Linked DNA regions of Ovis aries. The protein of the gene in region 2 interacts with the protein of the main gene of each other region in a pairwise test. Links are inferred from orthologs where the notes say so. Each region holds a gene or a part of one and is shown on either strand. Other genes may lie near its edges.

What was found.
Region 1: the proteins of FHL2 (region 2) and KIAA1217 interact in binary tests that used the Homo sapiens proteins (3 or more experiments, as listed by UniProt). The two-hybrid records come from large-scale screens. The link is inferred for Ovis aries from reciprocal best matches to the Homo sapiens genes FHL2 and KIAA1217.
Region 3: the proteins of FHL2 (region 2) and SAXO1 interact in binary tests that used the Homo sapiens proteins (3 or more experiments, as listed by UniProt). The two-hybrid records come from large-scale screens. The link is inferred for Ovis aries from reciprocal best matches to the Homo sapiens genes FHL2 and SAXO1.
Region 4: the proteins of FHL2 (region 2) and GLYR1 interact in binary tests that used the Homo sapiens proteins (3 or more experiments, as listed by UniProt). The two-hybrid records come from large-scale screens. The link is inferred for Ovis aries from reciprocal best matches to the Homo sapiens genes FHL2 and GLYR1.

What each region holds. Positions count from the first base shown.
Region 1 is NC_056066.1:24,436,357-24,444,080, forward strand, and holds the start of KIAA1217 (sickle tail protein homolog), read left to right. Parts: upstream 1-3,442; 5' UTR 3,443-3,499; coding exon 3,500-3,569; intron 3,570-7,724. UniProt on the Homo sapiens protein: Required for normal development of intervertebral disks.
Region 2 is NC_056056.1:97,214,420-97,221,441, reverse strand, and holds part of FHL2 (four and a half LIM domains protein 2), read right to left. Parts: intron 3,200-7,022; coding exon 3,025-3,199; intron 1-3,024. UniProt on the Homo sapiens protein: May function as a molecular transmitter linking various signaling pathways to transcriptional regulation. Negatively regulates the transcriptional repressor E4F1 and may function in cell growth.
Region 3 is NC_056055.1:87,517,230-87,524,368, forward strand, and holds the end of SAXO1 (stabilizer of axonemal microtubules 1), read right to left. Parts: intron 3,088-7,139; coding exon 2,087-3,087; 3' UTR 1,915-2,086; downstream 1-1,914. UniProt on the Homo sapiens protein: May play a role in the regulation of cilium length. Stabilizes microtubules at low temperature.
Region 4 is NC_056077.1:4,455,755-4,462,776, forward strand, and holds part of GLYR1 (cytokine-like nuclear factor N-PAC), read right to left. Parts: intron 6,035-7,022; coding exon 5,924-6,034; intron 5,239-5,923; coding exon 5,137-5,238; intron 4,442-5,136; coding exon 4,279-4,441; intron 3,963-4,278; coding exon 3,783-3,962; intron 3,174-3,782; coding exon 2,875-3,173; 3' UTR 211-2,874; coding exon of another isoform or gene 136-210; 3' UTR 1-135. UniProt on the Homo sapiens protein: Cytokine-like nuclear factor with chromatin gene reader activity involved in chromatin modification and regulation of gene expression. Acts as a nucleosome-destabilizing factor that is recruited to genes during transcriptional activation.

The DNA.
Region 1 (7,724 bases), on a different chromosome or scaffold from region 2:
CAGTTATGGAAACCTCGGAAGATTACCTTCTATGGCTTCAGCAAGCCTTAATTATTTCTTTTGTGTCCCAATGTCATGTCATTTTAAGTTATCCTGTTCTTAATAGTATTTAAAGTAAAACAGAAAAGAAAAAAATTGAAACATAGCAGCATGATTCCACGAGTGCTTATTCTAGTGATTTTTTTTCTTGGAAACCTTACGTGAAGAAAATTGACATGCTTTCCTCAGCCCTATAATTAAGTATGCCTGCCCGGAAGTCATACACAATATTTATGATTTTTGTGATTAATGTCCATCATAGTAATGCCTGTTGAAATTGCATCATCAAAAAAAAAAAAAAAGAAATTGCATCATCACAACCAATAATGGCTCAGTTCTGTCATGGGTTTGTTCTGGGTGCAAAATCACCAGTTCTCCTTACATCACTAGTATCTCATCAGTTGTCTTTCTTTTTAAATACTTCTCTGTGTCATAGCTCATTGTGAATCATGAATTGCCAACATAACCAAGAAATCGTCTTGTACCTTTCCTGGTTAACCGAAATGGAGTTGAAAATATAGCCTGCTGGTAACTTTCTTGTAGGTCTTTATGTGTCTGCAGGAAAATTCACATTTCAAGTGCTTCCCGCTTTCTTTAGGCCTTTGACAACAAATTTCCGAAGTCTGGTAGTAGGCAGGTTGGTTTGTCATAGCAATTTTTTTTAACCCAGACATTAAATGAAACCGAAAAGCTTCATGTACATCTAGTTCAAATAGTGTTTCTTCCAGAAAGAACATCCCACAGTAATAGCAATGACAATAATAGTATGTTTCATGAAAATCTGAACTACTAAGCTAATGGAGATTGCAGAAAAGGGTTACTGTTTGCCAGAGACCCCACTCAGAGAAACTGACAATCAGCAAAAAGTTCTTAGCAAGGGCTTTGTGCTTTGGGGAGCAATGTAGAGAAGAGTGCCGTGGCATTAATACAGAGCCTCTCCAACTGTTTTCAGTTCGTGTTCTCAAGGAGGAGGAACAAAGGGCCGGTACTAGTACGATAGCAGCTTTTCCCCATAGTACGATCAGAAAGTTTGGCTACTCAAGAGAAAGTGTTTTACCGTAAATATATATATAGATTTCATGGTTCTTAATGATTTATGTTAAGTGTCTTCATTGCTAAATGCCTTTTTCTTTTGTGCACTCCCTGAAGAATCTTGCTTCAAGGACTGTCTGCAGAGGCCAGAGTCAGCTTTGCTTGTGGGGGAGGGGAGGGTTCCAGCGGCTGGGGCTGGGACACATAGTTCCCCGAGGGGGTTCCTTGGGCTGCCTGGGAACTAAGCCGAGTGCAAGATGGGTGGGAGAGCCCCCATCTGGTTTATCTGAAATCAACAAGAGCGTTTATCTGCTTTTAGGCTTTCCAAACAGCCCCAGGCAAGCAGAATCTGCATCTAAAGGTGCATCTTTTCTGCCTGGATTGGGGTAGTCTGGAAGAGCCCTGGGAGGACTAGGCGCTACAGATTGTTGAGGACAGACTGCCATTGTAGGTGCCTTGCTGTCTCCTTCATCCTGGGGTTTTTGCCTCTGTACTGTGTCAAGAGACAGGCAGAAACTGCCAGGAACAGGCTCTCCACACACCAAATCAAGGTGGGTTGGTGTCACAGCCGCAAGCCCAGGGGCATCTGGTTTAGGCTGACATCTAGAGCTGCCCTGTGGTGCTCTCTCCTTCTACCCCGCCCCCATCCTTTCTGGCATTAATAACTTGAAGACAAATACTCAACGGCTAGACAAGGACCCAGATCTGGACCTGGAGGCCTGAACTCAGATCCCTGCTTCATGAGCACTCTGAACCCAAGGAAATGACCAGGTTAAAAGGAGATTCATCCGGCCTTTGCTGTAGGCCACCAGGACAGAAAGTGTGTGTGATTAGTTCCTCCTTAAAGCAAGATTACCAGGTCAGCCTGTTGCAAAGTCACGAGGTCCTTGAGATATCTGCCCCAGTCAACCCAACTGCCTGCCTTCAGTGCTACTGGGCTTGGCTTTAACTTTCTGGAAGATCCACCACATCTTCTCGGGTTTCAAGAAAAATCCTTTTAGGAGTTGAGGGGGTCTCTTCTTCCCTTCCTGATGTGATGACCTTGCACGATGACCTGATGTGACTTCCTGGCATGATGACCTTGTCCTTCATAGGCTTCCAAATCTTTTTTCTCTGAAATGGCCAAAATATGTCCCCCACACTGCCAAAGTACACAGGTGACTCAAGGTCAGAATCTGGAGGGTAGGCCAGTCATTGTTCTGCACACAATCTTCATCTAAATTAATGTAAAACCTTGTCTGAATGGTATGTAAACTGGGTTGAGTTATCGTCAGCAGGCTAACCATCCTCCTTCCCCCCACCAAACGATGGGGCTCCTACAGATTAAAAGATCACCCTCTTTCTAGGCAGTGTGTGATTTGCCTATATCTGAAATAGCAGCATGTACATTGCACAGATTATGTACCTTGTTTTTTTTTTTTTTAATTTTTTTTTAATTTTTGTGGACGCTGTGCCTCCTCTTTTCACTTTCTGGGAAATCGGCCAGTGTTTCAAGGACCCTGTAAAGAACAAAATAAATGTTTGTAGGTAGTTTCAAGGGAAAATGAGTATGCTGGATGCAACTCTGCCCATCCAAAGAAAAGTATTTGAAGTGCCTTTCTGATATTTTAATGAACTGGAGAGATTCAGAAGGTGGATTTTACTAGTTTACTTTTCAGATTTTGATCAACATGTGAGTGTGTTTATGTATGTTGGGGAGGAGGAACTGTTGAGAAAGTGTAGGCAAAGGAGTGCAAACTTCGCAAAGTCCAGCTGAAGAGACTGAAATTGATTGTGTGCAAAGTCAGCTGTATCTGTCTGTTAATCAAGCTCTAAACGCTTGGTGAAGAAAGTGTGTAAGAACCTTCAGCATATAACCTGTCCTCGTTGCCCTTTATAAAAGGGATTTCACTGAAATTTGGGACGTTCCGCAGTCGGCTGTTCCTTTTTTCAGGATATCAGCCTATTGGGGAGGCTGATTCTGTGAGATGAAAGAGACGGAGAACCGGCTTCCAGCAAAGGCTCCCGCCGGCGATCCTGGGCCATGTTTTCCTTCCCCGGCTGCGGAGTCGCCGCAGTTTGCCTCGGGGGGCCCGCGTGGGTCCAGGGCAGGACAGCGCATCACCTGTTGGGGCCTCGGGGAAGCGCGCGGCGCGGGGGCGGGCGGGGGGCCCAGCCCGCATTCCTCAGGGACCCGGCGGGCGGACAGACGGACGGACCAGGGGACGCGCGCGCGCGGAGGGACGCGGGAGGCCGGGCGCTGGAATGCAGTCTTCCCCGGCGAGAGAGACTTTGCACGGGAGTGGAGAGTAGTTTGGGGTGGGGTTTCGCACCGTCCCCTCCTCCCCACCCCCCGGGCCCCCTTCCAGGCGCTTTCTGGAAGCGTTTTTTCAGAACGGCGCCCTGAAGTTTAAAGACCAGAGAGGAGCCTGGGCCGGAGGCAGGGACAATGGAAGAAAACGAAAGCCAGAAATGTGAGCCATGCCTTCCTTACTCAGCAGACAGCAGACAGATGCCGGGTAAGTAAGAGGCTCTCATTCAAAGATGGAGTTACGGTTCCGCGTGTGCCTCGCGGCTGGCTGCTGCTTTTTATAACTGCAGACCGAGCGCCTGGCACAGAAAAGGCGTATTTCTTGGGGTGGTGCGTTTTCCCAACTCAGTGGAGAGCTGTAGGCTGGACTTTTTTTTTTTTTTTTAAATCTCTGGCAGGATTTTCTTAAGCTGCCAAAGAAGTGGCGGGGTGGTGTTACACTGGTAGCCCTGTAAGCCGTCAATACTTGCTAGATCTCCAGGCAGTGGCAAATACATCCCCAAAGCAGCTTTCCATACTCCCTGCTCCAGCCGCGGGAGAGAGCAGCTCTTTCTGGAAAGGTCTCTCGGGACGGCAACACTTCCATTCATTGGTTGGGGGGATTCCACGAGGCACAGGCACGTCGGAGGCAAGTTTGGTCGTATTTGAGAGTTAAATCGCAGAGTTTTCTTTTTTTTTTCCTTTTTCTTTTTTTTTCCGGATCGGAACAGCAGGGGAGCACTTGTCCATGTAGAGGAGAGATGGAGCTGTGCGAATTTTCTGTATGCTTGAATTCAAAAGTTGGGAGCTGTTAAGACAGTTCTGATAGATTTTCTCTGAGCAGTTTCTCTTTGATTGTGTTTATAATAGACTTGTCTTTTCCGTAGGGAACTTCCAGAAGCTTATGTCGTTCCAAAGAAATTATGCAGTGTGGTTGGGTGGGGAAAGGGCTCCTCGGCTGGGCCGTCCAGTGTCTGACGTCTGTGACTCCGGAGCCTACCTTGCATGCACTATCGCGAAGGCGGCGGGTTTGGACCCGGCGCAGTCCAGAACCCTCCCTGCCCCCACTTTAGCCCAGGTTCATCCAGGGGCCAGTTAATAGCCCTGCTTGCGGGGCTGCAGTGCTGTGCGTGGGAGTAACAACAATGCACAGGGGAAAAGGTGTGTGTTTTTTAAAAGGCAAAAGGGAAGTCACACATGACTCATCCACACTGAAAATGCAAAACTAAGCCAGACAGAAGAAAATACAATTAGAAGAGATAGAAATTCCCCCCGGTGAAAAGCAGGAAACTTTAAGACCAGTGAACCCTGGAGAATCCCAGACTCAGAGTCCTCCGCTTGCTGGCTGTGTTTGTGCTGTCAAAGCACCACACTCTCCTTGGGGGCCCCCGGGCAGTGGGGCCCCCTCCCCTGCCCTCTTTGATAGACAGGGTCCTGCAGCAGGAATTCAACCTCTGGGCTTCTGCTGCATTACGAAATACTCGGAATCTGCAGGCGCAACAAGAGAGTGGAACTGATTTAAGAAAACAATTTACAAACAACCACAGCAGTTCAGAGACACTTCAGAGACTGAGATGGTGAGACTGATGCAATGTGATCACTTTATTTCATTTATTCACTAAATATCAAGCCTCTGTTCTGTGGGAGTCACTGTTTTAGCTTCTGGGGATCCAGCAGTGAACAAAATAGATGAAAAGCCCTTGCTTTATATTCTAAGGGCCAAGTTTGGGGGAAGGGGAGTGGAGGACAAAAACAATAAATGTAAAATAGCATGTTATATGGTGGGGTTGCCGTATTTGTCAAACAAAAATAAAAGGCTCATTTAAATTTGAATTTCAGGTAAAAAATAAACTTTTTTTTTAGTATAAGTGTATCCCATGCAATATTTGGGATACACTTATGCTAAAAATTATTCGTTGTTTATCTGAAATTCAAATTTAACTGGGCATCTTATATTTTATCTAGTAAGTTTATTAAACTGTGGGGGAAAATAAGGCAGAGAAAGAAAATATTGAGTATGGGGGTGGTCAGGGGTGAAACTGTAGTAGGGTTATTAGAGATGGCCTCACTACTATGTTGGAGGAGGTAGTGGCAACCCACTCTGGGGTTCTTGCCTGGAGAATCCCCATGGACAGAGGAGCCTGGCGGGCCACAGTCCATGGGGTCTCAAAGAGTCGGACACAACTGAGCGACTCAGCACTGCTGTGATACTTGAAGGGACATCAGAAAGAAGTGAGGGAGAGAAGAAAAAGGGCATCTTCAAAGAACAACATGGGGAAAGGATAGATAGAAAAGAGGTTAAGAGAGAATTCTAGGCCCTGTCGGGTAGGGCCTCTGATAGTAGAGTAAGGACGTCGGCTTTTATTTCAAGGGAGGTGGGAGCTGCTGGTGGGTCTGAGAGGTTTCTTCAGAGGTAGTCCTGGGTGCTCTACTGAGAATCACCCGAGTGGGGTTGGGGGCAGAGCAGAGAGCTCAGTTAGGAAGCTTTCAAAGTAAACCAGTCACTAGCTTGGATCAGCAGGTAGGGGAGTAGAACAGGTGGTCGTAAGAAGACAGACTTTAGATATGTATTGAGGATGAAACTGAATTTGCCAAGGGATTGGATACAGGATATAAGAGAGACAGCGGAGTCAGAGATGACTTCAGAAACTTTGGCCTGTGCTTCTGGGAAGTTGTCATTTACCTGAAGGGGAAAGTATTGGAGAGGAGTAGCGGAGAGGGTGTTTGTGGCTTGGAAGTGGAGAGCAGAAAATCTTTTGGCTATGGTAGGATCTGGAAGCTTATCAGGCATCCAAGTGGAGATGTTGATTGCAATTTGGATGTTTGTAGCTGGAATTTAGAAGAGGGGACCCAGGATTGTTAGAAATGGTCCAGGATTGAGTCTGTGTGCAGAAGGAGGCTAGAAAGGTGGCTGGGGAGCACGTGAAAGAGGGCTAAGAATTCAGGTTAGATTTCTAAGATCCCCATTGCATCCTGGGTGAAAATGATGCTGTGAAAGAGTGTGGCCTCTTCTCCAGTTCTTCGATACGCAAGAGGACCATGCAAAGGAGGCCAGCCTCTGATGGCTTCATCACCCATGATTCCTTGTGGGCTTGATCGTATTTGGCATTGTAATAATACCGGTGAGAGTGTGGTATTCGAGGGCAAAGACCGTGACTTCTTTGTCTTCACATCCCCAGAACTTAACAGAGCACCAGGCATGAGACAGCGATCAATAAATATGTGCTGAACAAAAAGCTAATTATACCACCCTAGGGCTTTGAGTTTATCAATCTACAGATAGATAAGGATCCGCTGGGTGATCCTGTAACTTGTTCAAACCAAGACAGTTTTGAGAGTGAAAGGGACCGCTATAAATAATTTCAATGGGACAACAGTTGTAACCCAGAACTGTTTTGGCAACTGGGCATATGGTTACCTTGAGAATAATTGTTATCGATGATGCTCCTGGGGCTGAAGCGTCAGCTGCTGGGTACTAAACAGTGTGAAGTGCAGAGAGGTGCTTAGTAATTAGTGGTTGAATTTGAGTCTAACTATATCATGCTTTTATTTTTTTGGCTGTGTGCCATGTGAGATCTTAGTTTCCCAGCCAAGGATGGGACCTCTGCCCCCAGCAGAGGCAGCACTGCGTCCTAACCACTGGAGCACCAGGGAAGTCCAATATTCTGCTTCTTTTGGGCTCCCCAGAGTGGTCCTTAGGATGCCCATGCCTGCCCATAGCAGCCCTGAGGCGACTGCTTTCACTCTGGCCCCAGTGTCTTGAAACCCCTGTGCAGCTGTGTCAGCCACCTGCTTGCCTCTACCACCCCTGATTCACTGGGGTCTTAAGATACTAGTATTCACTGTGGTAGTAATCATTTCATGGTATGTAACTATCAAATCAATATATTGTACACCTTAAAATCAGATAAGATTACATGTCAGTTATATCTCAGTGAAGTTGGAAAAAAAATCATATTGGCAGCCTTGCAGAGTATAGCCCTGGCAGGGGAGGTGGTAAATGGAGAGGTCCCCAGGGGTCCCCAGACATTCTGGTCTTTGCTCCAAAGCATCCTCTAAAATTGCATATCAGTTTCTGTCCCTTATCCTGTTTTAACCTTAAAGCACTTTTCACTCAGTTCAGTTCAGTCTCTCAGTTGTGTCTGACTCTGCAACCCCATGGACTGCAGCACGCCAGGCTTCCCTGTCCATCACCAACTCCCAGAGCTTCTAAAACTCATGTCCATTGAGTCGGTGATGCCATCCATCTCATCCTGTTGTTCCCTTCTCCTCCTGCCTTTAATCTGTCCCAGAATCAGGGTCTTTTCCAATGAGTCAGTTCTTCACAACAGATGGCCAGAGTATTGGAGTTTCAGCTTCAGCATCAGTCCTTCCAATGAATATT
Region 2 (7,022 bases):
AGAGTACAAAACACTCAGAGTGTGTGTGCAGGGGGTAGGGAGCAAATGGTGATCTTCAAAACTATGTGATTAAATTGTGAGGCAATGAATCCTGAAAATGGCAAAAATTACATCAAGCAATTACGTCTCAGGTAAAAATGATGGAAGGACTTTGCTGTAAATTCTACAACCAAAATCTCCTTTGGTCTCTGGGATTTTAATTTCCCATGTACACCTCAGACACTGGTTCTTTTAACCTCTGACCTTCCCTCTGATCATTCAGCCCAGACCCCAAACAATTTGTCCATAAATACCCGATGACCGTGAGTCTCACTAAAGCCCCCAAACCAGACCACACATGCCTTCTGCATGTTCAGAATGAGCCTTCTGTCCACCCCGGAGCTCAGGGAGATGTCCAGTCCTAGGTCCCAGGTCCCACCCAAGTTGGGTACCCTCAGACCTGGTGCAGACCTTGTGGGCCTTGTGCAGAGTCACCAGCAGGGGGCGGCAAAGCTCCTCCTAAGAACCTGCAGATGAGCCAGGGGACCGAGTCCACCTCCTGGAGGAAGGGGTGTCTTTCTGATTCAAAGGAGCAAGTGAGGAAGCTGAAAACCGGTGAAGGCCTGGCAACAGCGTGAGGCTACCTGGAGGCCTTGAGCCAGGGCTCAGCATCCCTGCGTGGGCTCGGGAGGGAGCCTCATACCTCGGGTTGGTGACTCACAGCTGTGGGTGCTGAGTGGGGACGCCTGCAGAAGCCGCGCTGCCAGTCTGCATTGCTCTCATCTTGATTTGGTTGTAGCACTTTTGAAAATCAAACCAAGGAAGGAAGCTAGCGCTCTGATCTAGTTTTGTGGGTTTTTTCTGTTTGGTTTTTTAAGTGTCTAGTACTTGTTTTATTTTTGCAGGCCTTTTTGGGCACACCACCTCTGATGCCTGGTCCATTTCCTCTGCCAGATGTGCCCTCTACTGACTACTCCATCCGCTGAAATCAGGTCGACCTTGAGACTGCTCAAAGGTCACGTCCCCAAGGGCCCCTTTGCTGGCTGCCCTGCTCTGACTTAGTGCCTCCATCACAGTAGACACCAGCCAAGCTTCTCCTAAAAACCCCAACAGCTGAGATGGTGAGATGGATGTCCCTGGGGAGAAAGCGGGGCGGGGGGAGGGGCAGCAGTCCTCAGAGACCAGCCTGCCAGAATCCAGAATCGTCTTGGTGGCCCCAGGAATTTTAGGAAAAATTCACCTCTTACTCTAAGGTATATTCGTCTTTGTCAAAACAGCAGTGATCATTTTTCTCCCCAGTCTGGACCACTGCCCTGGAAAACTGTGTCTTTCCCCACATGCATGGCCCTGGCTCAGTGCCCGGCGGCTGGGCATCCCTGGGTCCGTCTCCTTGCAGTCAGGAGTCTGACTCTAAATGATCCCTGCTGCCTAAGTTCTCTGTGTGTGTCGGCGCAACCCCAGCTGCTGTGTGGACTAGCATGACTCTGCAGGGCACCTAGGTTTCTACAAGCTGACATTCATTCTACTGAAATTGAAAATTCAAAACCCCTCATTGAACTTCATCCTGCGCATCTTATCAGTGTGTTCATGGATACAGCACATTTTAAAAATCACTTTTAAGGGGCATGACTTTATGTTTGGTTCCATTCACCAATGTAGTAAAGTCCTTTAAAAGGACACTTAGAATTTAAAGATCCCGATGCTGGAAAAGATTGCAGGCAAGTGGAGAAGGGGGCGATAGAGGATGAAATGGTTGGATGTCATCACCGAGTTAATGGACATGAGTCTGAGCAAACTCCGGGAGATGGTGAAGGACAGAGAGGCCTGGCGTGCTGCAGTCCATGGGGCTGCAAAGAGTCAGACAGGACTCAGCGAATGAACAACAAAATTTAATGTATTTGATATTCCTTCTACTTCGATGCCAAGGAGGACCTTGGCAAACTGGACCTCAAGTTCTTAAGTAATTGTCGATGAAGTGAGCTAAATATATACAGTGGACAGATAATGATGGACAAACGTGGACTGTTATTCACAGCCTCAAAAACTAAGGTATCTTAAGTGTCAAAAACATTTACGGATTAAGAAAATCCCCGTATAAAACCACAAACCTAAATCACTCAATGGCACACTTTTAGTTAGAATAAAAGAATTAATTTACTCTTGAGACCAATTTTTTTTCTAAACTTCACTCATGCATTATCAGATTATTTAACACAATATTACTGCTCTGGGTTGGATTGTCTTAATAAGTGTGCCCTTAATTCTAAAGCTTCTCAGGACTGAAGGAAGCACATCCTCTAAGAAGCCATCTTGAGGACAGATACTTTCTTGAGCAATTTGAGGGTTCCCCAGGCAGCAGCATCCAGCTTCCCAAGAGCTGGGGACCTAGACCTGTGTCCTGCTCCCACCACCCTGAGCCTGGTTTGGGGGCCACACCCCAGAAGACAGTCATAGGACGGAGCCCTCTCTTGATTTTATATGGCTCTCTGGCAGAGAAGCCAGGTTAACGAGGTCTCAGGTGGGATCGGCTGAAATCCCAGTTTACCTGGGAGTCCTGTGTTTTATGCGCTAAGTCTGGCAAGGTTACTGTCCAGTTCCCTTACTGGTCATGCAGAGGACATCACTGACCCTCTGTGGCCGATGAACTATCCAGGGTCCAGATCTTAGGTTCTTCTTGCTCTTGTTTTGTGTGTCTTAACAAGATCATGTTTTAAATACTGTGTTGAAAAATTTCACATAGCATTTTTGTCCATTCTATTCTTTAAAAGAAGATTCCTCTCCCATAAAGCAAAGATTCCTCCTCCCCTCCCCCAACCAAAAGCAAGGGATACAGTCCCATCCGCCCCCATCAACAGACAGGTCATTCATCACTGGCCACTAGGCCCAGCTGCGGTCAAGTCGGCCAGGATGTCACCCGCACGGGGTGCAGCACCCAGCTCCAGGTCCAGCACGAGTGTGCGGGGTGGAGGGGGGCCTGGGGAGGGACTGGGGGGTTAGGGCTTGGGGACTTCGCGCATGTGCGAAAGGCGGGATCACAGCACCCACCTGGCATGATGCCCTTCTTGCACTCCTGGCATCGCGACGAGTACTCCTGCGAGTAGCAGTCAGTGCAGAGCAGCTGGTCCTCCTTGGCAGCGAACGGCTTGTCCACGAGGGAGCCCCGGCACCGTGAGCAACGGAAACAGGCCTCGTGCCAGTGCCGGTCCTTGTAGGACAAGTCCTGCAGACCCGGGGCAGAGAGGCAGAGAGGTGAGAGGGGCCAGGCAGGGAGGTGGAGCTCGAGGGGCTGGGACGGGTCGGGTGGGGTACGGAGCCACTCTTTAGAAGCTTCTGAAAAACAGGTGCTTTTCCCTGGGAACTCTCTGTAAGAAAGAGAAGCTGCTTCTGCTGGACACACAGACCTTGGGGGTCCACTGGCCACAAGCACACGGGACAAACCCAACCATGTCTGAGGCGGTGGTTGTGATTCCCAGGGGAGGGAGGATGGGCTGAGGGAACCTCAGAGACAGAGCCTGGGGTGGGGCCCCTGGGTCAACCTGGAGAAGGCGAGTAGAACACTTCCAGGAAGTGCTACCAGCTGAACATCAAAGACCAGAGGATGTGTGAGCTGGGCAGAAAAAGGGCAGAGACCAGGAGGGCCAGCCTGAGGGGCGCCGGCTGGGAGAGTTCCCACCAGGCTGGACCAGAAGGCCAGATGAATGTACCCAGGTGAGTGCCGTTCAGCTCTGTCTTTGTTGAGGGTTTGAATAAAGTCCTGTCCACTGAGGACAGTAATCAGCCTAATTAAAGATGCGTTGGGGTTTGGATCACGTGATCACTGTTGTAATGCTGATTATGGAATAAATGCATTTAACAATTTTTTTCTTTTTGGTATGGAAAACAGTAAGGCAGGCAGTTCCTCAAAAAAGTGAACAGAGAATTACCCCATGACCAGCAATCCCACTTCTGGGTAGATGTCCCAAGAATTGAAAGTGGGAATCTGTGGATCCAGATTCATAGAAGCCAAATGGTGGAAGTCACTGAAGTGTCCATCACAGAGTGGACAGACAGTGATGGACAAACGTGGACCGTTATTCACAGCCTCAAAAATGAAAGAAATTCTGACACACACTGCGTGCGTGTGCTAAGCTGACTCTTTGCACCACCATGGACTGCAGCCCACCAGGCTCCTCTGTCCATGGGATTTCCCAGGCAAGAATACTGGAGTGGGTTGTCATTCCCTTTTCCAGGGAATCTTCCTGACCCCAGGGATCAAACCTGGGTCTCCTGTATTGCAGGCAGATTCTCTACCAACTGAGCCACTAAGAAAGCCCCCTTGACACTAGAAAGTTCTCTAAATCTGATAGTACACCCCGTCCTGATTAGATCCTCTTGAGGGAGGTCCAGCTCCTGGCCTCCACCCTCCTGAGACTGTTGGTCATTTGGTCGCTCGCTGTCCCGAGTCCCACATCCTGCATTCAAGGGAGGGACTGATCACACCCTGGCTATGGCATGGCCCTCCAGGCTGGTGACAGCAGCTGCCTAGAACCCTCAGCGCCACCCCCATCCCACACCCACTCCAGGGGGCTGGTCACCATCCTGCCGAGATTCCTGCCGAGCTGAGTCACCGGCCATCCCTTCCCTGTGGCATCCTCACCCCCTGCACAGCTGCTCCCTGTCTGCTGTCTCTTGCACACGCACACACGCACGCGCACACACGTGTTTCCGCATTAACATACAACAGCCCTGAACTGTTCATTCAAAGACATTTGATAATTCTTCAACCTTCTGACAAAAACGTTTTTCTTGAAGATAAATACCAATCTACACCCACACTCTCAGGAGCCATGGTGAGTCACAACTCTCTCTGAACAAGCTGGCATCACCATCAGTGGGGCGGGGAGGGGGTGGGCTGAGGCAGGACGACAGCTCACCCACCCCTGTTCCATGTGCCGTCGGCGGCGGCGGCCACCCCAGGCCGAGGAAACCTGGCGTGCAGGCAGGTGGGGAACCTCAAGCCACTGCCCTGCACACCTGCCACGCCACTCGAGCCCCTGGGGACCCTGGGAGCATGTGTCTAAAATGCCTGGTGTATTTCACCCCAGCGATTAAACCTGAAGGCTCCAGACTTGAGTCCTGGCTCTGCCACACACCTGCTGCATGGTGGTGACAGCAACCTGACCCCTTCCAGCCTCAGATGCCACCGGGGAAGCAGAGATGATGGTGAAGAATCGACCACAGTCCTGGCACATTGTAACTGCTCAGCTAACATTGGTCTTCGGTCCCAGCTCATGGTGACATCAGGTGCCCCGAAGCGTCACTTACTCATGAGACCAAGATGGATTCCATGCCCTCCTCTAAGAGCTCCAGGCTCCTGGGCTCAATCACTCTACCTGTACAGCGCTTTCAGCCTCCACGGCCCTTCTAACTCTTAAATTCCCTTAATCCCCTCTTGTTTTGAACCACACAATGACGCCATGGAATAAGGTTTTATTCCTATTTTATAGGTGAGCAAGTTTAACAGAATGACGCTAAGATGCTGTGAACCCAGTCCGCTGCATCCCTCTTCCTGGTCTGCATCTGGCAGGGCATAGACCTTTACCTGGCCCGGCAGCATCTTTACAAGCAGGCCCCAGCATGTTCACCCAGACTCACCTTCTGCCCCAGCCTCCTCTCTGCTATGCTCCCCTCTCCCTTGCCCATACCCTGGCTTGCGCTGTCCTGGCCTCTGAAGGCCCCCATCCCCCTTGGCTATGAGGCCCGGCTAGGACACCAGTTGCTCGGTGATGCCTGTGTGGCCACGAGTGATGCTGGCCCTGCGGGCCTGGGTACCACCCCCATGGGCACACCTGGAAGAGCCACACCCTGCAGCTTGCTCGGGCGCTTGTGAAGCCCCATCTGAGGCCGTGCTGTCAGCTCTCCTGGGAGTCCTCCTTCTCTCGTGCCGTCCTTACGTGTCAGTCTGAGTCAGGTTGATACTTCACGCCCCCACCTCCTCTGGGACTCCCTTCTGTGGAAAAGTCCACACTGCATGGGCGCCAAGGTGGGAAAAGGCCACTGGCTTTGCTAGCTCGAAGCTTGTGGGGCTGGACTGGAAGTTGGCACAGAAAGGCCGAGGCATCTGGTCTGCTTAGGTGATCTGACCTGGTGCCTGAATCAGGCTGACGCCTGCTCTAAACGTGTGTATGTAAACTGGGCTCTGAGTGACTCTTCTCACCGCTGGCATTCCCTTCTCCAAACGGAGTTTCAGTCTTGTAGTACCGAGCTAGTCTTGTCTCGCTGAATTCTGTTGTGTGCCGAGCCTACCGGGTGGTCCCCAGAGACACCACAGAGGTTCAAGGCTAAGAAGTAGGGGCTCGCTGACTAACTTTCAAGAACTTTGAAACATCCTAGAAAATGCCCCTGTTTTAAGGTTCTCTAGAGAGAGAGCACATGAAGGGGCGAAAAAGAAAGGAAAAAAAAAAATCTTCAACACATCCCAGAAAAACTAGCAAGGTAGTCTTGTGCACACAGAAAGTCATAAATTGCTGTAAAATGTTTGGTAAACGATGTGAGATTAGGCGCAAACACTTCCTTTCTGATTTTCCATTTCAGAGACACTCCTAATGTGGGAAGGGCTTGTGGCTTTGCTCTGCCCTTGTTGAGGTCTCGGCTGAGCCGTGGGTGGAGTCAGGGGCCCGGAGGGACCCTGCACCCCCCAGTTAATGGGGGCGGCCCAGGGCAGCGGGGTCCCTCGCCGTCCTCTGCCCCCTGTCTGTCTTTCCCAGGCTGGGGGAAGCTCAGCTGCTGATTCCTGAGCCACCCAGTCCTCAGACCCACAGGACCCCGCCATGTCGGGGGGTGCGCCACGCCACTCGGCGCAGCACTTTGCAAAGATGTTCTGTGCTTCCCATCCGTATGGTCCTTCAAATCCTTGAAGAAAGACTCTGGCAGAGACCCTGCCACTTACCCTGTTGCCAGGCCCGGGGTTCGCTTCCTGAAAGACAGGCACGTTTCTCCTGACCTCACTTTCTCCACAAAGCAAACTTTTGTAATTATTTCCGAAAGCCAAGAAAACGGTTCCA
Region 3 (7,139 bases), on a different chromosome or scaffold from region 2:
CCAGTATTTTTGTCTGGGAAATCCCACAGACATAAGAGCCTGGCGGGTTACAGCCCATGGGGTCACAAGAGAGTTGGACACAACTTAGCAACTAAAACAACATTATTAAGGAATTTGAGGCAAAATATTAGCAGAAACAGATCCAATTATTTACAGTTGTTCCCTGGGGAAGTTATAATAGAGACTAAGGGGTGGCTGCTTTAGAGTGCTGCCGTTTTATAAGCATTTTAATACCATTTAGTTTTTCAAATCAAGTGCCAATATTCCTTTGATCTGTGAAAAATGATGAAACAAAAATAATAAAACCTACCCTCCTAAGTGGCCTCCTTTAGCTTAATGGCCTCCAGAAAGGAGTTCAGACAGAGACAGTACAATTTGATGTGGTTGGTGGAGCCATGAGATCTGAGTCACTGCAGATGGGAGGTGCCTGGTGTTGAGTCAAGAGCCCTGGATCTTGAAACAGAAGACCTGGGTTCCAGTCTTGGCCTTGGTGCTCCAAGCTCTGTGGCCTTAGGCAAGGTGCATCGTTTCTCCGAGCTTCTTTATCCCATAAGGGCAGTCATCCACACCTGATACAGCCAAGAGGATTAAATGCCATAAATCCCAATCCAGTGACGCAAACTAACCTCACGGTAAGAAGACAGTGAGTGGGGACCTGAAAATCTGGGCCAGGGAGGCGACAGCCATGGAAAGACAGACTTGAATAAGAGATGCAGGCTTCTTGACCATGAACCAGGCAGTGAACTGAAATTTCCTCTCCCCTCCATGCTGTTCCCCAGTTCTCTGATACCATGGAGTATATTTTAGGATTCTACAGACTCAAAAGAGAGGCAGATAACCCAAGCGTCAATCTGCATCCCCCTGGGTGAGGCTCACACAGACCTTGAACCCATCTGATCCTTGCCTGGGCCATCTTGAACAAAGTCCCTCCTTGATTCTTCCTAATTTAAAAAAAAAATTTCTCCAAATTACTTAACTCTAGGATCAAACCTTAGGCCCCAAAAAGGAACCTCCAACCCTTTCTCCATTATCACTATGTCACACTTTGTGAGAGGCCTGGTCATAGCTGTCATTTTAGGACAAGCGGGTCCAGGCTTCCCAGGAATCAGCCCAATGTGCGGCCATTTTTTCCAGGTTCTGAGCATTTAGAAGAGCTCATAGCTTAAGGGCCAGCTGCCAACTGCCTGGTTGCCAAGGGCTCCCTTTCTCCCGGCCGCCACCCCCGCTTCCCGGACTCAGAGCCTGCACTGGTTTGGGAATGAGAGAGGTCTGGCAGTCCACGCTTTCCAGGCTCTGCCATAGAACCTTGTCCTTTCCCGCCATCTGTCTCTCTTTTGAGTCTGTAGAACCCTAAAATATACTCCATGGTAGCAGAGAACTGGGGAACAGCGTGCAGCGGAGAGGAAACTTCAGTTGAGTGCCCGGTTCATGGGCAAGACTCACGACAAGACTCATACCCCATCAGACAACACTGCTGTTACTGGTATGTCATGATGTAAAGAGGTAGAAAGATGCCCTGTGAAGCAGCCCTGGGCAGAGAGGCCCCAAAACAAGACTCCAGATCAGGCCTGAGGCACCCCTACCAGGATGAGGAGGCAACAAGAGACTTAGGCTCAAATATCCCCAGAGGTCGCAAGAAACACGGCCTGCTCTCTGCGTAGACAGCACATGGCGTGAACACACAGACCTGCAGATTCAAACCCCCCAAAATGAAGTTTATTCTTTGGCACTTCATACTTGGCAAGGGATGATCATAATGTCAATGTATACAATGATTAAACTAGTAAAATACATCTGGATGGGAAGGAAACCTCAGAGACCAGCTTTGATTCCATGAGCACAGGGTAAAGGGGCCAAGATGGGGAGACAGCAGAGGGAGGGTTAGGGGACTGATTAGCCAGTGATTAAATGTCATTTTTCTTGAGTCAAGTGATTCTTGTTTTATTCAAGTGTCCAGGAAACAACGATGAAATTTTTTTTTCAGTTTTGGGGAATTCTTTTTTTTTTTTCTCTTTTGGTCCAATGAATAGCTCAACCATATGATTTTATAAGTATTGTGCAATTCCTAAATTACAGCCTTTAAAAATCAGGCTGACACTGTCAACTCCTGCTGGTTGGGATTTTCTGAATCACCTACAGAAAAACGGCTGCTCCGCCGAGAGCCTGTCTGAGAAACGGGCCGGTATATTCTGTGCCCCAAAGCATCTATTTCCTCAAAGATGTAGCCAGGAGGCTCAGGGTATGAAGCCAGGCACCTACTCATTTCCTTAGGAGTAAAGCTGATGGTGTATGTGGTCTGGCCCTCCACAGGGATATTTCCTCGGGGCCCAGACCAGACGGGCTTGCAGCTTTTGGTCATCATGGGCAGGTGGGGCACATAGTGGGTTCGTGTGGTGGTCAGGCAGTCCAAGGGCTCAGTGGGAAGGTTCAGCTGGGGGATGGGCTTGATTGGCTCTGTCCGCGTGCTGGCCCACTGCTTGTAGTCCTCTTTGGTCGTGGTGGAGCCTTCAAAGCGGCCACCCTTCTTGACCGAGAGCACAGGTCGGCAGGACTCAGCTGGGGCACCCTTAGGGTACGTGTAGTGGGCTTGCACAGTTGTCAAAAGGTCCATCTTCTCTTCAGGAGGGACATACATGGCAGGAGGTTTGGAGAACACCTGGGGCGTTGGCCAGGCTTGGTACTTATCTCTAAACTCAGTGGTGTTAGAAAATGGCGTGTCGAGCCCACAAGGCCTGGCAGGTTTCAAGCTCTTGGCTGGCTCCCCCATCAGACCCCGGTATGACTCTTTGTGGGTGGTGAGGCTTTCAAAGGGGATTTCACAGGGTCTGAACTTCTCTGGCTCATGCACAAAGCGCTTCTCCAAGGGGTGGGGCACGTAGCTCATCTTGTAGTTTGTCAGATCCTCCAGGGGGATGTTACAGAGCTTGGGCACAGCTGGAGGCTTACAGCTCCTGGTGTTCACCAGGCCCTTCATGGAGTAGTCGTCCTGCTGTGTGGTGCGACTATCAAACTTGGTTGATGCTGGCCGGTAGTGGTGAGGTGGACGAAGCAGCTCTCGTCTTGGTTGGTTCCAGGGTAAATAGTCAGCTGAAAATAAAGCAGAGGCGGTGATTATTCATAAATCCCATCACTCAACCTGCATGTATTCCCAGAAGCCACAAGCCAGTCTTCAGGGAGATGTTTCAGGAGACAGAGGAAAACCAGACTAGATCCCTGCCACCACCTCAACCAAGGGTTTAATGTTTCAGCTTTGTGGTATTTGCAGATTATTGTGCAGCAGAAGGCTTCCCAAGTGGTGCTAGTGGTAAAGAACCCGCCTGCCAATGCAAAAGATGTAAGAGATGCAGTTTCGCTCCCTGGGTCAGGAAGGTCTCCTGGAGGAGGGCATGGCAGCCCACTCCACTATTCTTGCCTGGAGAATCCCCATGGACAGAGGAGCCTGGTGGGCTACAGTCCATGGGATCACAAAGAGTCAGACACGACTGAAGTGACTTAGCACGCACACACATGCAGAAGAGACTAATTTATAGGAGTCTCATCACACCCACAGTGCTGCATGTGGGGACTGTAGAGGGTCCAGGGCCATGAGTGGACCCATGGAATGGACTCCAACAGAGAAGTCCAACTGCTGGTTTTCCCTTATCCAAGAACAGTTCCATTCCTCTAAGGGAAGGTGCCCTTGTGAATCAGCAAAGAGTGACTGAGCCACCAGCCAGACTTGCTAGGCCTCCTGGTCATCCATGGGGCGATTGCCATCATGTTGCTATCATCACACATACACTCCACATACATCAAATATGGCACTCCAGGGGAATAAGGGGCACTGCGCTGGCTAACCAATTCTGAATCCACAGGGAATTCTCTTGCCTACAACTTTACAAAGAGAACAAAAGTAGTCTTTGAGGTATATAGCCAATACCAGTGGAGTCCACAGGCACACTTTTTTTAAACAGCTTTCTTGAGGTATAATTCGTATAAATGTAAATGTGCCATTTATATTTATAGAAATATAAAATGCACCATCTTACGCACATAATAATTTCTACTGAGTTGTGCAACAATTTATAATCAAAATCTAGTTACGCTGAATCCCTTGCTGTACCACATAAATTAACAAAACATCGTAAATCAACTATACTTTAATAAAAAGAATTTTTTTTAATCTAGTTATAGAACATTTCCATCACCACCCTAAAAATCTAATCAAGCCAATTTGCTATCTTCATTCTCATCCCTGGGCAATAATTAATCATTTCTTGGTCACTCTAAATGTGGCTTTTCTGGACATTTTCTATGAATGGAATTGCACAATATATAGTGTTTTGTATTGGCTTCCTCCACTAAGCATAACGTAAAGGAAGTCCATCCCTGTCGTAGCATGCACCAGTTGACTCCCTTTTATTGTTGACTAGTATTAGAGTAAATTTTGTTTATCCATTCTTCATTTGATGGGCATTTGGATTGTTGTCATCATTTCGTTATTATGAAAATTTCTGCTAGGAACATTTATAGACAAGTGTGTGTGAGGCTACATCTTTTCATTTTCCTTAGGTAGATACCAAGAAGCAAAATTGCTAAGCTATATGTTTAATTTATGTGTAACTTTTCCACATACCGCAAACTTTTCCAAAGTGGTGCGTGCCACTTCACATTCCCACCAAGCAATGTATGAAAGTTCTCATTTCTGCACATCAACACTTGTTATCATGATTTGTTTTTTAATTATAGGCATTCTATAGTGGGTGTGTAGTGGCATCTCATTGTATTTTAATTTACATTGCCCTAATGATTAAAATTTTTGAGTATCTGTGTATGTGCTTGTTTTTGACTGTATAGAGCTTCTCCATCTTTTCCTGCAGAGAATATAACCAATCTGATTTTGGTGTTGACCACCTGGTGATGTCCATGTGTAGAGTCTTCTCTTGTGTTGTTGGAAGAGGGTGTTTGCTATGACCAGTGCATTTTCTTGGCAAAACTCTATTAGTCTTTGCCCTGCTTCATTCCACATTTCAAGGCCAAATTTGCCTGTTACTCCAGGTGTTTCTCGACTCCCTACTTTTGCTTTCCAGTCCCCTATAATGAAAAGGACATCTTTTTTGGGTGTTCTAAAAGGTCTTGTAGGTCTTCATAGAACCATTCAACTTCAGATTCTTCAGCATTACTGGTTGGGGCATAGACTTGGATTACTGTGATACTGAATGGTTTGCCTTGGAAATGAACAGAGATCATTCTGTCGTTTTTGAGATTGCATCCAAGTACCACATTTCAGACTCGTCTGTTGACCATGATGGCTACTCCATTTCTTCTGAGGGATTCCTGCCCACAGTAGTAGATATAATGGTCATCTGAGTTAAATTCAAGCATTCCAGTCGGTTTTAGTTCGCTGATTCCTAGAATGTCAACATTCACTCTTGCCATCTCCTGTTTGACCACTTCCAGTTTGCCTTGATTCATGAACCTGACGTGCCAGGTTCCTATGCAGTATTGCTCTTTACAGCATGGGACATCACCAGATGGTCAACACCGAAATCAGATTGATTATATTCTCTGCAGCAAAAGATGGAAAAGCTCTATACAGTCAACAAAAACAAGACCAGGAGCTGACTGTGGCTCAGATCATGAACTCCTCATTACCAAATTCAGACTGAAATTGAAGAAAGCAGGGAAAACCGCTAGACCATTTATGTATGACCTAAATCAAATCCTTTATGATTATACAGTGGAAGTGAGAAATAGATTTAAGGGCCTAGATCTGATAGATAGAGTGCCTGATGAACTATGGAATGAGGTTCGTAACATTGTACAGGAGACAGGGATCAAGACCATCCCCATGGAAAAGAAATGCAAAAAGGCAAAATGGCTGTCTGGGGAAGCCTTACAAATAGCTGTGAAAAGAAGAGAGGCGAAAAGCAAAGGAGGAAAGGAAAGATATAAGCATCTGAATGCAGAGTTCCAAAGAATAGCAAGAACAGATAAGAAAGCCTTCTTCAGTGATCAATGCAAAGAAATAGAGGAAAACAACAGAATGGGAAAGACTAGAGATCTCTTCAGGAAAATTAGAGATACTAAGGGAACATTTCATGCAAAGATGGGCTCGATAAAGGACAGAAATGGTATGGACCTAACAGAAGCAGAAGATATTAAGAAGAGACGGCAAGAATACACAGAAGAACTGTACAAAAAAGAGCTTCACGACCCGGATAATCACAATGGTGTGATCACTCATCTAGAGCCAGACATCCTGGAATGTGAAGTCAAGTGGGCCTTAGAAAGCATCACTACAAACAAAGCTAGTGGAGGTGATGGAATTCCAGTTGAGCTATTTCAAATCCTGAAAGATGATGATGCTGTGAAAGTGCTGCACTCAATATGCCAGCAAATTTGGAAAACTCAGCAGTGGCCACAAGACTGGAAAAGGTCAGTTTTCATTCTAATCCCAAAGAAAGGCAATGCCAAAGAATGCTCAAACTACCACACAATTTCACTCATCTCACACGCTAGTAAAGTAATACTAAAAATTCTCCCAGCCAAGCTTTAGCAATATGTGAACCGTGAACTTCCAGATGTTCAAGCTTATTTTAGAAAAGGCAGAGGAACCAGAAATCAAATTGCCATCATCCACTGGATCATGGAAAAAGCAAGAGAGTTCCAGAAAAACATCTATTTCTGCTTTATTGACTATGCCAAAGCCTTTGACTGTGTGGATCACAATAAACTGTGGAAAATTCTGAAAGAGATGGGAATACAGACCACCTGACCTGCCTCTTGAGAAATATGTATGCAGGTCAGGAAGCAACAGTTAGAACTGGACATGGAACAACAGACTGGTTCCAAATAGGAAAAGGAGTACGTCAAGGCTGTATATTGTCACCCTGCTTATTTAACTTATATGCAGAGTACATCATGAGAAACGCTGGGCTGGATGAAGCACAAGCTGGAATCAAGATTGCCGGGAGAAATATCAATAACCTCAGATATGCAGATGACACTACCCTTATGGCAGAAAGTGAAGAGGAACTAAAAGCCTCTTGATGAAAGTAAAAAAGGAGAGTGAAAAAGTTGGCTTAAAGCTCAACATTCAGAAAATGAAGATCATGGCATCCGGTCCCATCACTCCATGGGAAATAGACGGGGAAACA
Region 4 (7,022 bases), on a different chromosome or scaffold from region 2:
TCATGGCAAGTCTCAAAGTCTGTATAAAAGGAGATGGAGACAGGTGGACTGGTCCAGAGTTAAGTCCCAGGACCCCAACTCCGTGTGAGGAAGAGGGGGTCAGAGGGAAGATAGGGGTGGGATGGGGTCAAGGACTTAGTGTATATAGGCTCGGTACACGGCGGACATGTCATTGTCAGACTGGTCCAGTGCCTTGGCTCTTTTGTACACCTGGAAAAAAAACAACACAGGCTTAGTCTGGCCACAGAGCTGACTTACAGACAGATCTGCTTCCTAGAGGGGTTCTAGGTGTGGTTAGGTGGGTAGGTTCTGGAGCCCAGGCTGTCTGGGTGTGACTCCTGGATCTCCCAGATTTGGCCTGACCTTGGACTAAGTACCTCAGTTTCTCTGTGCCTCCAGCACTGCTTCTTGATTTCATGGGGAGGCTAACAGGGTTACGGCGAAGGTTAAATGGACTGAGGGATGTAAAGTGCTCGGAGGCAGGGCTCAACACTGGTTAGTAGTTACAATCACATCCCTTCCATCTGAAGATGCTCCGAGGCTGCGGCCCCGTCCTGCCCCATCAGCTCCAGGGCCTTCCCCGTCATCCATCTGAAGTGCCAGCTGTGCCACTTGACCCGGCCACCTCCATCCCTTTACTCTGCTCCATTTTATTCACAATTCTAACCTCCTGCAGTTCTTCCTTGTCGAAACATTTATGTGCTTACCTGGTGCCTCCTTCCATTAGAACGTAATCTCTACAAGGAAGAGAAGGGGCTGTCCTATGTCCCCAGAGCCTAGGACGGTCCCTGGCAATTAACAGCCACTCTAAAGGCACCAGGTGAATATGAAAGAGTGTGAGAAAACTTAGAAAAACCATTGTTCAATAAGGGCAGGGCAATGTCCAGGCATGTTGAAAAATGCAGCTGGACATAGGTGTATTTTTTTTCTATTTTTAAACATAGTTCAGTTGGAGTCATCATGATTGATGTCCATTACACCTTGGGTATAGCTGTGAACTCAGAACAAAGGCTAAATAAAGGCCTTTTTCAGATAAAAGAGAACTAATTGTTGACAGCAGACCTGCGTTCAGGAAATGCTAAAGCAAGTTCTCCCAGCTGAACGAGAAACAATACCAAAGAGAAATTCAATTCTTCAGAAAGGAAAGGAAAGGAAAGGAAATGGTAGAGAAACAGAAACTTATCTTTTCTCTGAATATCTTTAGAATTCATACGACTACTAAAGCGAGACACTCCAACAATGGTGAGCTTAAAAATCAAAGCAAACATAACATATAGGACATGTGTACAGTAAAGCAAGGGTTCTCAACCTGGGGTCCTTTTGCTCCCCATCTGGAGCGACATTTGGTGATGTCTGGAGACATCTCCTATCAACCAAGGGGGTGCAATCACATCGAGTGGGTAGAGGACAGGGAGGCTACAATACACTGGACAGCTCCCATAGCAAGTGCCAGTGGTGCCCAGGCCAAGGAACAATGCTCCCAAGGATGAGAGGAAGGCAGTGGTAAATGGATACACATTTTACGACAGGGCCAATCTAGGACGTGAAGTTAAGATGCATACAGTAATCCCGAGAGAAAAGACAAAAATAAAGATGATGCACTTTGAACCAAAATGTCTGTTTCCAAGTCCATGAATCCTGTAGAGTCAGGGAGGGGCAAGTGGAAATCACCTCGCAGAGAAGTGCTCCCAACATAAGATACCACAGAACCCTTCAGAAGTAACCAGTTACAGACAAACTTATCAGCGAAAAACTATACAACAGCCAGGAACTTCACTGCCAAGAGAGAACCTGAAGGTACGACAAGAGGAATCAGAAACTGTACTGCAGCCTGGAAGAGTGAAGAAGTACTCAGATGTTCAGACAGACAAGGAAGAGAGAGAGACGCAGAATTCAAGGACAGAAGATCATCGACCATGGAAAGGCAGGTTTGAAGAGAGCGGCACTGCGTTTTTTCACTGATTTTTGGCTGCACTGCTCAGCTGGCCCCACCAGTGGGAGCAGAGAGCCCTGACCACTAGACCCTCAGGGAGCCCCCCAGTACTGTGTATCTGTATTTCTTTGCCTCTACAGGAAAAGCCACTAGAGACCTCTATTTAACTTGGATAAAAATGCATGCGGCTTACAGCGCTTGGAAGAGAGAACTTCTAAAATGAATCCACATGATGTATATATGTATGTGTCTCACAACATGTGGTTCTCACTGCAATTCAAAGATGAATACTGCTCAGCTGTTTTTCTGAAAGATTATACTTCTGTTAGATTGAAATAAAAGATAGAACGCATGGAAACTGTAAACCTGAGAAGGCCATAGTGGCCATATGAAAGTCTGACGACAGACTTCAAGACAAAGATCAACAGGGACACTTCTTAATAACAAGAGGGCAAATTCATCAGGAAGACAGTATAATCATAAATGGCTAAGGCCCACTAACAAAAACTTCCGAAGATACTAAGCGAAATGGACAAAATTAAAGGGGAAACAGATAATCCCACAATAACAGCTGGAGATTTTAACATCCCTTTCTCGGCAATTAAAAGAACTGGAGAAAAAGGTCAGTAATGATGATCTGAAAAAACACTACCAACTATCTCGACCTAACTGATAGATGCCGAACACAGCACCCACTGCAGAACACACAGTCTTCTTAAGTGAATATGAATGTGGTACACCCACCAAGACCGACCGTCTGCTGGGCCACAAAACAGGTCCGAATTGATGCAAAGAGGTAAAAGCCACACGGAGTGTATTTTTTGACCACAAAGATACATTAGAAATCAATAACCATTCGATATCTAGGAAATCCTTTAGGATTTTTACTCATATTTGACACACTTTTAAGTAACCCACAGGTCAACGAATTCCCAGCAAAGTCAGCATGGACTGGAGGAGACATACAACTTCAGAAAAGGAAAGCCTAAAATTAACAACCTAAGACTCCCCCTGGAGAGGTCAGACATGGCCAAGCCAAGGCAAAGTCGGCAGAAGGGGCAGTGCAAGGGAACAAGGGAAGTCTGCAGGCCCCACCCACAGCCTCCTGCAGTTACCTCATTGGCTGCAGCAGCCATGGGGGTCGGATGGTTGACGGCATCACCTAGCGCAATGGCTAAGCGGAGATCCTTCTGAATGTATTTCAGGTAGAAATCGGGCTTAAAGTTTCCTTGCAGGATATCTGAGGAGGGAAAGGCATTCACCAGAAGAATTAAAAGGATCCTAAATAAAAAAGCATCTGGAGCACTGTCAGGGCTCAACACCTAGCATTTCCTACTCCTCAGACACCCAAGAGACAAGTTCCCAGACTGCACCCCCAAATCCTATGGGGCTTCCCTCAGAGCTCAGCTGGTAAAGAATCTGCCTGCAGTGCAGGAGACCCCAGTTCAATTCCTGGGTCAGGAAGATCCACTGGAGAAAGGATCTGGAGGCTCCCCACTCCAGTATTCTTGGGCTTCCCTTGTGGCTCAACTGGTAAAGAATTCACCTGCAATGAGGAGACCTGGGTTCAATCCCTGGGTTGGGAAGATCCCCTGGAGAAAGGAAAGGCAACCCACCCCAGTATTCTGGCCTGGAGAATTCCTCATGGACTGTATAGCTCATGAGGTCGCAAAGAGTCAGACACGACTGAGCGACTTTCACTTCACTTTGCCTGGGGGCCAGACTGGAGAGGATGTGTCATTCACACAGAAGGAGCTCCCAAAGACACTGTTCTGTGATGGCTGCTTGACCCAGCTTCCCAGCTAGAACCCAAACTAAAACACAACAAGAGTGGTCAAAGGCAACTTACTTTGGCACTTCTGGTCCAGGAAGATGCTGGCCAACTGTCCCTGATTGAGGATGTCCAAGAGTGTCTGCTGGGACTGGCCTGTCACTTGGGCCAGGGTGAGCCCCTCTGCAATGGTGGCCATGAAGCTCCCCTGGACCATGTTCACAATCAGCATCATCTTAGCTGCGTTGCCAACCTCACCTGCCCAGGGCAAAGAACTGCAGTCACATCCCAGGAATCCCACGGGGAGGGATTTCTGCCCACCCTCAACCCTGCCTGGACCCACCTCTACACCCAGGGGAGGCCCCATTCACCTGCCCCTGACAGAACTGGTTCTGACCCTTCTGGCTCTTCCTCCTTGCAGGCACTGACTGTGCAAGTCAAAGAAACCTTCCCACGGGGGCCCCAGGCAGAGAGGCCGTGCGGGACTGACGCTGTCCTCAGGGTGGTCTAGAGGGGTTGTGGCCCACCCAGCCTCCAGGCCTGCAGTGGCCTGACGGGTGGGCAGGCATGTTACCTAGAAAGAAGGAGGTCTTCCCCATTGCCTGGAAGCAGCTGCTGCAGTCCTCATACAAGCCCCTGTCTCCGGCCGCTAAGATCACCAACATCCCATCATTAGACAGCTGCTGATTCCCTGAGACCGGGGCTTCCAGAAAGCGGCCCCCCCTGGACACAATCACCTGGAAAGGAAAGTCACAGCTTCTGGAGGCTGTGCCTCTCAAGAGGGTCTTGGGCAGGAAGTAAAGAGCACGCAGGGACTGGAGCACTAGGCCCTCCACACTGAGCCCCAAAGCAGACGCATGTACCAAGGTACTGGGCTGATGCTGGGGGAGGGCCAGCAGACTGTCCTCCACCAGATGCCTGAATCCCATGAAGGAGACAGCGAGGAGCTGGGGGTCCTCAGAGGCTCCCATTACAAAGATATCATCAACATGATCACACTACGGCTTGGCCGACCACACTTTCTAGGACAGACACTGCCCTTCTTTGATTTCAGCCACTCTTTGAACACACATGGGCCACTAGTCACCATCTTCTCACCGTGGCCTAGAGGCTCAGGGTGGGGGAATATTCTGCTAGTACTAACTGCAGAAAGCTGTTTAAACCACAAAGACCCTGCTGGCAGCTTGGACTGCTTCCAACTGAAAGGCTAGTGGCTACGGGACCTGATGCCTCTCCCAGCTAAGAAGCACTTCTGTTTCAGCCATGCAGACCAGCTGTAGACTTGAAGGCAGAGAGTGAAAACAGGCTAGAATCCCACAGTCTCTGCTGTGGCTCTGGAGTAACTATGTGACCCACACTGGGGTATGGTAAGCCTGGGTCTTGGGCTCCAACTGAAAGGACGCTGGAGGGCCAGCCTGAACAAGGCTGCTACCTGGGCCAGCTCGGTGACTGTGTCAGCGTCCACTGTCGACATGTCCACGTAGCACTTCCCGGGGCGGATCCCCTGAAGCACGCCACTGGGGCCCAGCACCAGCTGTGGGGACACAAGGGAGGAGCAATAGCCCAGGCTCCCAGCCAGACACCCAGGAGACCCTCAGACCTAAGGTCAAGACTTGCTGATTTTTTTTGGCTCATTTCCCAAACAGAAGCTAATTATTAAAGCTCAAAAGGGAAGAGCATGTAAATAAGCAAGGGAAAGAGAAGAATTTATGTTATGTTCCCATTTACCTTCAGAAAGAATATATATGTATTTCTCTTCATTAAAAGCCTCCCATTGAAAAGATTAAAGGCCAGTATTTATTTTTTAGCTTTTTTGGATTTACCTGGATTAGTTTAGTCACGAGTTCGACAAGATAACTACTGCACTTGAACTTTTAAAGCATACAAATACAGTGATAGCTAAATATAGGAACTTGGCACATGGACCAAAGCCACACTCAGCCTCAAAGCTTCCAGCTCACCAGGAACACATGAGCTTGTCAGGAACCATTTCAGCACAGACCTCAGGGACCCCAGTCAGTTTCATTCTTTGTTCTGAATTAAAGGAAGTCTTGTGTTCAGTCTATGCAAACACCCTTCACAATGGGAGACGGCCCCCAAATGGGACACCCAACCCCCCACATGCAGACACTCACTCGGTGTGCAGGGGACAAAGGGAGGAGGCCAGCCAGCGTTCCTGGCCACAACCTGAGACGCTGAGGGGAGGGAGGGATCCTTACGTCCTTGGCTGCCTTTGGGTCCGACACGCAGGCAAAGGTGATGTCACAAGTTGAAACGACTTCAGCGGGGGTTCTTCCTAGGCGGGCCCCCTCCTGGATGAACAAATCACACTGCAAAAGTCACAGATCCTAATGTGAGCTGCAAGGCAGTGCACAACACATACACTAGCCAGGCCAGAGATGCAGCACCCAGTGCTCCTGCGTGGCCTCCCAAGGCAGGCAACCTGACTGCTCAAGGGGAAGTGGACGGGAGCCCCTTAAGGACAATCTTGTATCTCTGCAAACTTGGTGCCGAGGATGCATGTTCCACATTCTGCTCCACAGGAAGCATAAAACAAGTGTCTGCTGGAGGCTTCCTGAACCAAGAACGGGACGTGAACAGTACTTGTCCGCAGCTCTCTGTGGCTGTCTTGGCTGTGGCAAAATCTGCCCAGTGCTGTGTGAGCCAGGGAAGCAGGGCTGGGGCCAACAGGCTGCCACTTCCTACTGAATTGCTTCTGGTGGGATGTGGGGGAGCAAAAAGCACTAACTCTTTCTTTTTTAAAAAATAAAATCACCTGAAATATCTCATAAAATATATCATTAACATTTTGGTCTACTTCCTTGTTCTATGGGCATTAAAAAAAGTACTTAGAATAAGTTGGACCTATGATTTTGTATCTTATTTGCCTCACTGAGAAACATATCTGAATTTACCTAATGGCTCTCCTGGCCCAATTATAAATACAAATTATTACATGTATTTGACCCCAACAAATACATGTAAGGGACTTCCCAGGTGGTTCAGTGGTAAAGAATCCACCTGCCTATGCAGGAGATGCAGGTTCGATCCCTGGGTCTGGAAGATTCCCTGGAGAAGGAAGTGGCAACCCACTCCAGAACTCTTGCCTGGAAAATTCCATGGATGGAGGAGCCTAGTGGGCTCTAGTCCATAGTTCTGCAAAAGACTAGGGCATGACTTAATGACTAAAACAACAAGTAGGGTAAAACTTCTTCTTGTAGGTCAAGAAGCAAGTTAGAACCGGACATGGAACAACAGCCTGGTTCCAAACTGGGAAAGGAGTACGTCAAGGGTGTGTATCGTCAACTAGCTTATTTA